Linked DNA regions of Ovis aries. The protein of the gene in region 1 purifies or fractionates together with the protein of each later gene. This does not show direct contact. Links are inferred from orthologs where the notes say so. Each region holds a gene or a part of one and is shown on either strand. Other genes may lie near its edges.

Region 1 (4,435 bases):
ATACTAGGTTGTGAGGGGCACTGTGGCTTTGTTTTGCGCACTTGCTGTTTCCCTGGCTCGGATTCTCTTTCTGAGGCCTCACTCCGCGAAAGCCAGCTGCCTTACAGAGAAGCCAGAAGCTGTGGGCAGCAGGGAACTAAATCCTCCAGCCAACAGCCTGTGAGGATCAGAGCCTCCTGCCCACAGCACGTGCATAAGCTTGGAATGCTTGCAGATCCTGAAACCAGGTCCCTGGCTCACAGTTCAACCACAACCTCACTAGACGAGCCAGAACCACCGAGCGGAGCTCTCCCTGATCCTCGGTAAGGACAGTGTATGTTGGTCGTTTCAAGCTGCTAAATTCCAGGGTTATGTTTTTACACAGCAATAGGTGACTAATATAACAGAGTTAGATAGTTTTCAAAAAGCACTTGGGTTATCGAAAAACAAACTTTTGCTCAGTCAGCGATTGGGCAATGTAGCAGGACGCAGGATGAGTGCGTCGGGGACTAGCCGGGCAGTTTTCAGGTGCGCCAACAGGAAGCCTCAAAAGTGTGTATGGAATAAATACAAGATTGGAATGCTCTGCCTTTGGCCAACTCAACTTTCTACATGTTAAGCTGACCATGTGACTCTTCATTACAGAAAACTCGCAAATATTCCCCCAAAGTTAAGACATTTCCAAAAGATACCAAGGTCAGTATTTCACATTAGGTTCTGTGACCTAAAACGCCCCCACCACGTGCAATCCAGGGGTGTGTGTTTGTGATGACTCGGGTGTGAAGCATTTGAGGTCTTGCACTCCGCGAGGAGGAGGCGAAGGAAGAAGAGATGCATGCTAGACCGGCGTTGGCAGCGCAGGCTCCGCCAGCCTGGCTACAAATCATAGGCCCGGCTTGGCGCTGCAAAATCCTCGCTGGTTGAAGGCGTGGGCATGTGTCCGATAGTCGCCACGCCTGGTGGCGTCTGGGCTAGGAGCTCCCAAAAGGGCGACCGCATGGTGACTTGGGCTGGAAGGGGAAAGGCCTGGAGAGAGCTATTTGGACACCCGTGGATGAACGTTCGACGATAACTTCCGGGAGGGCGGACATCGGCGAGTGGGCGCGAAGGCAGCCTAAGGCCGGACAGCTGCCACTCGCTGACCTCGGCTACTTGATGGGATCGGCTGTGCCGGCTCGTCCCCGCGGCGTGATGGCAGCGGGCCCTCGAAGGGAGAGATGCCCGCTGACGGAGACGCGCCCGTGACACACGCGCGTCCCAGCACCTCGCAGAAATACCATGCCGCGCTCAGGTTTCTCGTGGCGCTCAGCGAGACCATCTCACTTCCCCACCCCTTCAGCTTGCCGGCAGACTCCTGAGGATACCCGGGACTAAGAAAAGCCTGTGGCAAAGAGCACAGGAGCCCCAACCGGACAAGTCTCCTTTGCCGCGCTGCCCAAACGGACGCGCCCACGAGGCCGGTCCGCAAGATGGCGGCGGCGCGCTGCCGGCAGCTCCTCGCACATGCGCTATCCGCGGCCCGCCCGGCGCGAGCGGAAGTCGCGTGACCCCGGAAGTGGCCGGCAGGGCGCGCGCGGGCGGGGCGGCGACGTTCGTCATTCTGTGCGGGAGGGAGCGCGAGAGCGGCGCGGACGATCCTCCGGTGAGTGCGGGCGGCGAGGCCAGCGAGCGCGGTGGGCACGGCGGGCGAGGCGGCCGCGGGGAAGGAGGCCGGGGCCGCGCCTTTGTTCTCGCTTCCCGCCCCGCCCGCCAGTCCCGCTGAGGGAATCTGCGCAGGGCGGGGGCGGCATTGACAGCGGGCGGCGCCCCGGGCGCAGGGCGGGCCCACGTGCGATCGGGGGCGCGGGGATCTGGAGGCGGGGGCGCGTGTGCCGGGGGTGGGAGCCGGGGTCTGTGCAGACCTCTTTTGTGGTCGCTGCTCGTACTCGGCAGCCCCCTGCTTGCTGGTGCGCGCGGACCAGGGCCAGGCGGGACGCCTCCTCCCCTGGGAGGTGAGGTCCCTGCGCCCCACCCTGCTTGCCGGGCCTCGCCTGGCCCAGATTGCAGGCCCTGCGGAAGTGCGGGCCTCGCCATCGCACTTAAATGATTTTGTCGCCTGCGGCCGCGCTTGAGTGACGTTAAGGCGTGAGCCTTCTAGAGGAATTCCAGAGGAAGCTGCAGGGAAGCTTGGAAAGAACGAGCCGGCCCCACCCTGCCTGTGGCGGCCGGGCGGTTCCGGGTCCCCAGCGGCCCTTTGTAAGATCGGGTCCTCACGCACGTCCCGGCATTGGCTGTCTTTACTGGCAACCGGTGGCCCTGACCCACCTCCCACACCGCCGGGTCTAGTCTGAGTCGGTTTCAGGTACTCCTCAGGGATTCTGCGGGGTGCGACGGTCATCCTTAGCGAAGGAAGTCCTGTGGCTGCCCCATCACTTCTCGCTTTGACAGCATTGCTCTGGGCTCTTCTGGGGCCCGGGCGGAAGGAGGATCTTGAGACTACCCATCACATGGCTGCAGCAGTTCTCAAATTCTAGGTCACAGACCCTCACAATTAGAGATTGGTTTGTCGGACAGGTAGGGTCTTTTAGGCCATTTCAGGACTTACCTGTGGGACTTAGGCTAGCCCCGTCATCTGAGCTCTAGGGGAGACCTGTGTTTGGGCTGGAGGGAGACATGACTGACCCATGTCCTGCACAAAGGCCTTGGTTTGTAGCTGGGGCGTTTTTGAAGGAACAGGCTGGTCAGAGAGAACCCAGCAAGAGGGTTTCCTTGAGGAGAGGGCCTAGGCAGCTCAGAACAAGAAGCAGCACTTGGTCCTGGTGCTTCCTGGTTGGACCCAGGTGCTGCTGCTTCCTGGGCAGCAGGGAAGCTGTGCCTGCTTTCCTTTCATTTAGCTCTGGATGCTGGGGTGAGGTCCTGTGAGGTGGGCAGGGCGAGGAGGTGAGTGGCCCCTTTGGGCTTCAGGAGCCTGTGTCTGGGCCTTTTATGAAGTTCTGGCTGTCACTGCCTTCCTGTTAGAGAACGTGCACCTCCCCTTGGGCCCAGGTTGGGGGTTTGGCCACTTGCAGAGAGCCAGTGCAGACCACCTGCAGGTCCTGCAGAAGGGCAGGTGGGGACACACTGTGGGTCCCTCCAGGCTGCCGCAGCCCCTGCTACTCTGGTCACAGGTGTCTCACATCCAGCTAGAGGTGAGTATGGCTGAGCAGGAGCCCACAGCCGAGCAGTTGGCACAGATTGCGGCAGAGAACGAGGAGGACGAGCACTCGGTCAACTATAAGCCCCCGGCCCAGAAGAGCATTCAGGAGATCCAGGAGCTGGACAAGGACGACGAGAGTCTGCGCAAATACAAGGAGGCCCTCCTGGGCCGCGTGGCTGTGTCTGCCGGTAAGTGGGCCCCGGTGGGGTGTGTGGACACCTGTCGCTTTTCTGGGTGTCCGCCACTATTTCCCCTGCTGGCGGAGCTCTAACTTGCTGTCACTCTGCAGACCCCAATGTCCCCAATGTTGTGGTGACCCGACTGACCCTGGTGTGTAGCACTGCCCCGGGCCCCCTGGAGCTGGACCTGACAGGTGAGTGGCATCTCCAGGTTCCTCGCTGGGGCTGCCTGGCACCCTGCTAATTCCCCTAAAAATAATTTGTTGAGATGCTGGCGCCCTCTTGTGGGGAGCCTAGGAAGTGCAACCAAGTGATTTTAATAAGGCTCTGGCTTTGGTGTGGCCTGGGATTGGAGGGTGGGGTGTGTGTGGGTGTCTGGGGTGTGGCCTGGGATGTCAAGGGGTGTGTGTGTGGGTGTGGGTGTGTGGGTGTGTGTGTTTGGTGTGGCCTGGGATGCCGGGGGTGTGTGTGTGTAGAGGGGCAGACAGGGCACCCCACCAGGGCCGGAGTGGCTTCCCCTACCTGAACCTCCTAGTGTGGCGTTCCTCTCAAACGCAGGTGATCTGGAGAGCTTCAAGAAGCAGTCTTTTGTGCTGAAGGAGGGTGTGGAATATCGGATAAAAATCTCCTTCCGGGTAAGGAGGAGGCTTGGGGGGATGCTGGGGGCTCGGACTGGAGAGTCTGGCTGAGCCCCGCTTGTGTGCCTCCTTGCAGGTGAACCGAGAGATTGTGTCCGGCATGAAGTACATCCAGCACACGTACAGGAAAGGCGTGAAGAGTGAGTGCGGGGGCACCAGGAGGGAGGTGGCCACCGGGGGCTCAAGGGGCGCCGGGAGGGAGCGGGGAAAGGCCCGCCTCAGCTCCCTGACGGACGCCCTCCCCGTGCCCCACAGTTGACAAGACTGACTACATGGTGGGGAGCTATGGGCCCCGGGCGGAGGAGTATGAGTTCCTGACGCCCATGGAGGAGGCGCCCAAGGGCATGCTGGCTCGAGGCAGCTACAACATCAAGTCCCGCTTCACAGACGACGACAGGACTGACCACCTGTCCTGGGAATGGAACCTCACCATCAAGAAGGAGTGGAAGGACTGAGCCGGGAGG
Region 2 (3,641 bases), on another chromosome or scaffold:
CTGGGACAGCTCATTGGTCAGAGTCTGCAACGGGAAGTGGCCCAGTCAGCTCGAGTGGCCCGTGGTCAGCCCGATGACCCTCCCAGGCGCCCCGGCCCCGCCCCCCGGCCCTCACCATCAGCTGCCGCTGCACCCGCTCGTTCTTCTCGGCCTCGGTGATGCGCTTCTCCTCGTTGCGGTCGTCCAGGATGCCCTCGCTGGACAGCTCGGCGCTCAGCTCCGTGCCCTCCTCCTGCGGGCCCTCATGCACGTGGTAGTTCACCGGCTCGTACACCGGCGGTGGCGGCGGCGCGGTCATCACCAGGTGCAGCTCCTCCCGGGTCTTCACCAGGTCATCCTGGGCTTCCTTGGCCTTTGGAAGCAGGTTGAGAGGCAGGTGAGAACTTTCACAGAGAACCTTGGGCTTGAGTCCTTAAGAACCACCTTTTAACTGAAGGCCCGCTGTCCGTGCGGAGAGCAAGATCCTGCACCCTCCCTTCCTCCGCCGGCTGCATGTGGCGGTCTGCAGCAGCGCCAAGCAGAGGGCCAGGCTCTGGCTGACCTGGTGGCCAGTCCACCATTTGTGCAGCCGCCCCCGGGTCTGGAGACCAGGGTCAACTGCACCGAGAGAAGGTAGACACTTTTCTAAGTACTGTAACTTCTTTACAGTCCCCGTATATGCTTATTGTATATATTTTTGAAAAAAAAAAAAAAATATGATGAAGCCCTCCAGCCACTGAAGGGTTTTTGATGTTGCATTTTACTTTCCTCCAGTGGCCAGATGGGCGTTGCTTATCAAGCTCCTCCCTGCCTCTCAGCACATGGCTCACACCCATTCTCACCCCATAATCCTTCCAGCAGCTGGGGGGGGGGGAGGGGCCACGGGTGGAGGGGCACTGCACCAACATCCTGACCCTGGAGATGTGCTTAAGTTTGTACCTGTTTTGTAACCCACTTCTCTCATTTAATACTTGAGCACTTTCTTAAAAAACCCAAGGACCAGAATCTTCTGCACACAACTCTGGTTGGGGGATGGCAGTGAAGGTCCGTGCAGAGGAGGGGGCCACCGCAGGTGAGGAAGGGCTGGCGAGGGGGAGGAGCCCCACAGCCTGGCAGACGTCTACCCTCTGAACTCGATGGCAGCGCCCCGCCCCCGCCCCCACCCCAGGAACAGTCTGGGGGAGACAGGGGGGATGTGGTTCTATTACAGCCGCAACCAACTAAACCTCTTGGGGGGTGAGGGCACAGCGCAAGCCAGGTGTTGCTCGTCCTGGCTCTCCAACGGGGAACCGATCCTCTTAAGAGGTGAGGCCGCCCACCCATCGCACAGTAAGGAGTAGCCAGAGCTGGACTCGTGGGGGCTGGAGACCCCCAGGGTGCAGGTCTTCCCCAGCACCGCGGGGATGCATGTCCCGAGCAGCAGAAGGGGACTCTGGCCGTCCTGGGGCATCCACGTAATCTGACTTATAGCTAGTTCCTGACGGGGCATCCTGAGCCTGGAGGGTGCGGTCTCTGCTGACCCCCGCCCCGCGGTCCCCCACTGGCCGCCCACCCCGCACCCTCGCCGGCGCCCCGCGCTCACCCGGAGCTGCCACTCCTCCACCTCGTTCTCCTTGCGCCGCCGCGCCTCCTCCAGGAGGGCGATCTTGGCAGTGTACTCGGCGAGCTCCGTGGCCTGGGGAAGGAACGGAAGCCCAGATTATTTCCGGAAGGGTTTCAGCACGCCACTCGTGAAGGAAGGGTCACGTTTTGGTAGACAGTGCCCCATCCCTGGCCGGCAGGGTCCATCGCCCACTGTGTCTGAGGCTGCGACTCACCAGGGCTGCCGCGTCCACTCTCCTCCGCCCGAGGCCAGCCACTGCGGGGCTCCCTCCCCACCGGCCACCTTACACCCTCAGATCACTTTACAGCCCTGCCGCCGTAATGCACAAATGATCATCAGGCAGGTGTCAGTCACTCTGCCAGTCCCCAGGGGCAGCCTCCCTGTAACTCAGCACAAGGCCGGCGGCTCCTACCAATTGCTCCTGGCTCTTGATCTGGTCCGCTGCCTGCCTCTCCAGCTCCTCCTTGGCGCGCAGCGCGGCCAGGCGGTCAGCCTCCAGGCGCCCCGCCTCCTCCTGGGCCCGCTTCCTCTCCTCCTCCAGCTTCAGCGCTCTCTGGATCTGGTCAGAGAGCTCTAGAGAGAGCGCAGAACCAGAGCCGCTCAAGGTATGGTCGGGGACCCCTCAAGTCCTGCCCCGATTTCCCCCCAGGGGACAGGATGGAACCTGGGCAGGAATCACCCCCATGCTGTGGAGTAGGGGACCGGGTTTGGGGCCGCTCCTCCCAAAGACCCTGCGGAGAGCACTGGGCAACTGTTTCCTTGGGGCTCAGAGGACCACATCCCCAGGGTGAGGACACCCTCCAGGCTGGCTGACCCCTCGCCCAGCTGCTCTCATCAAGACTGCTCGCCCGCTGTCGGTTTAGAAGGTGGGCCGTGCAGCACGGCTTGGGTGAGCTTGGCAGAGCCTTCGCGAACCTCCGCATCCTCATCAGAAACGGGGATAATTCAAACGTCACCCCATCGGACCCCGGGGAAATTTAAAAAGATTACGTCCAGAAGCATTTGGCACAGAACCCACAGAACTAGCTTCTAATCCAAGTAACCACTTTATCATGTCTCTTCTGAAAGTCTCTACTTTGGGTGTGAGCTTAACGGAGAGAGGTCCCTCTGGGTTGCCTGTGTGCCCACTATCCGACCCTCCCATCACAACCGGACCAGAGCCCCTCCTCCCAGGAGGCCCCACCCACCTTTCTCAGCCTTCCTGGTTTTTTCCTCGTAGTCCTGAAGCCTGAGCATCAGCTCCTCCTTCTCACGCATCATCTGCTCTTTTTCTCTCTCCACAGTTTCTCTCCTCTTTTTCTCGGTTTCCAACTGCTGCCTGTTTCCAGGAGGGGAAGGTAAGCCTGGTGTCCACACAGCAGCCTGCTCGTCCCAGCCCCAGGCCTGTCCACCCGGCAGAGGACACTGGTGACAGCACGGACCTCAGGTGCCCTGATGGCTCCCCGCCTCAGGGGGCCCGCACACAGGGAACCGCCAGCCCCGCCCCTCACCATTCTGCCCCGCCCCTTTCCCATCGCCCCGCCCCCTCACCGCTCCAGCTGCTTCTGGTGCTTCTCCTCCCGGGCCTGGGCCTTCATCTGCTGCACCTCAATGGTGTCAGGCTTCCGGCGGCGCATGTACAGCTCATGGTTCCCCATGCAGAGCTGCAGGATCCGCTTGTTGATCCGCAGGCGTGGGGCGTAGAACACGAAGTCCTGCAGGACAGAGCAGGGCGGACTCTGACTCGGGGACGCCGGGCCTCTGGCTTGCTTCTCCCAAACCCGACCCCACCCAGTTCTAGATTTCTCCTGTAAAAGGCGAGAGACAGGGAAAGCCCCTGACCCCAGCAACGGGGTGGGGCAGTGGGGGCAGGTGTCCTCCGTGCCAGGGGGGGGGAGCATCCTCCAGGACAAGCAGAGGGATTGTCTGTGCCCTCACCGGAACCCCGCAGCTGGACCAGCGGCTGACCTTGAGGCTAACATCCTCCTCTGATGTCTCCAGCCCCCAGTGGCCCCATCTCTGATTCTTGCCTGGACAGCGTAACTTCTCCTATTTGAGTTTCCGTCTCCTCCACCTCAAG

The links. The genes of interacting proteins can lie anywhere in the genome.
Region 2: the proteins of ARHGDIA (region 1) and EZR purify together in Homo sapiens (co-purification; 3 studies listed by BioGRID and IntAct, with this or other methods). This does not show direct contact. The link is inferred for Ovis aries from reciprocal best matches to the Homo sapiens genes ARHGDIA and EZR.

What each region holds. Positions count from the first base shown.
Region 1 is NC_056064.1:50,519,932-50,524,366, forward strand, and holds the start of ARHGDIA (rho GDP-dissociation inhibitor 1), read left to right. Parts: upstream 1-1,576; 5' UTR 1,577-2,320; intron 2,321-2,406; 5' UTR 2,407-2,532; intron 2,533-3,125; 5' UTR 3,126-3,152; coding exon 3,153-3,342; intron 3,343-3,443; coding exon 3,444-3,527; intron 3,528-3,891; coding exon 3,892-3,968; intron 3,969-4,047; coding exon 4,048-4,111; intron 4,112-4,226; coding exon 4,227-4,426; 3' UTR 4,427-4,435. UniProt on the Homo sapiens protein: Controls Rho proteins homeostasis. Regulates the GDP/GTP exchange reaction of the Rho proteins by inhibiting the dissociation of GDP from them, and the subsequent binding of GTP to them.
Region 2 is NC_056061.1:82,894,274-82,897,914, forward strand, and holds part of EZR (ezrin), read right to left. Parts: intron 3,277-3,641; coding exon 3,113-3,276; intron 2,901-3,112; coding exon 2,770-2,900; intron 2,156-2,769; coding exon 1,995-2,155; intron 1,655-1,994; coding exon 1,562-1,654; intron 353-1,561; coding exon 116-352; intron 25-115; coding exon 1-24. UniProt on the Homo sapiens protein: Probably involved in connections of major cytoskeletal structures to the plasma membrane. In epithelial cells, required for the formation of microvilli and membrane ruffles on the apical pole. Along with PLEKHG6, required for normal macropinocytosis.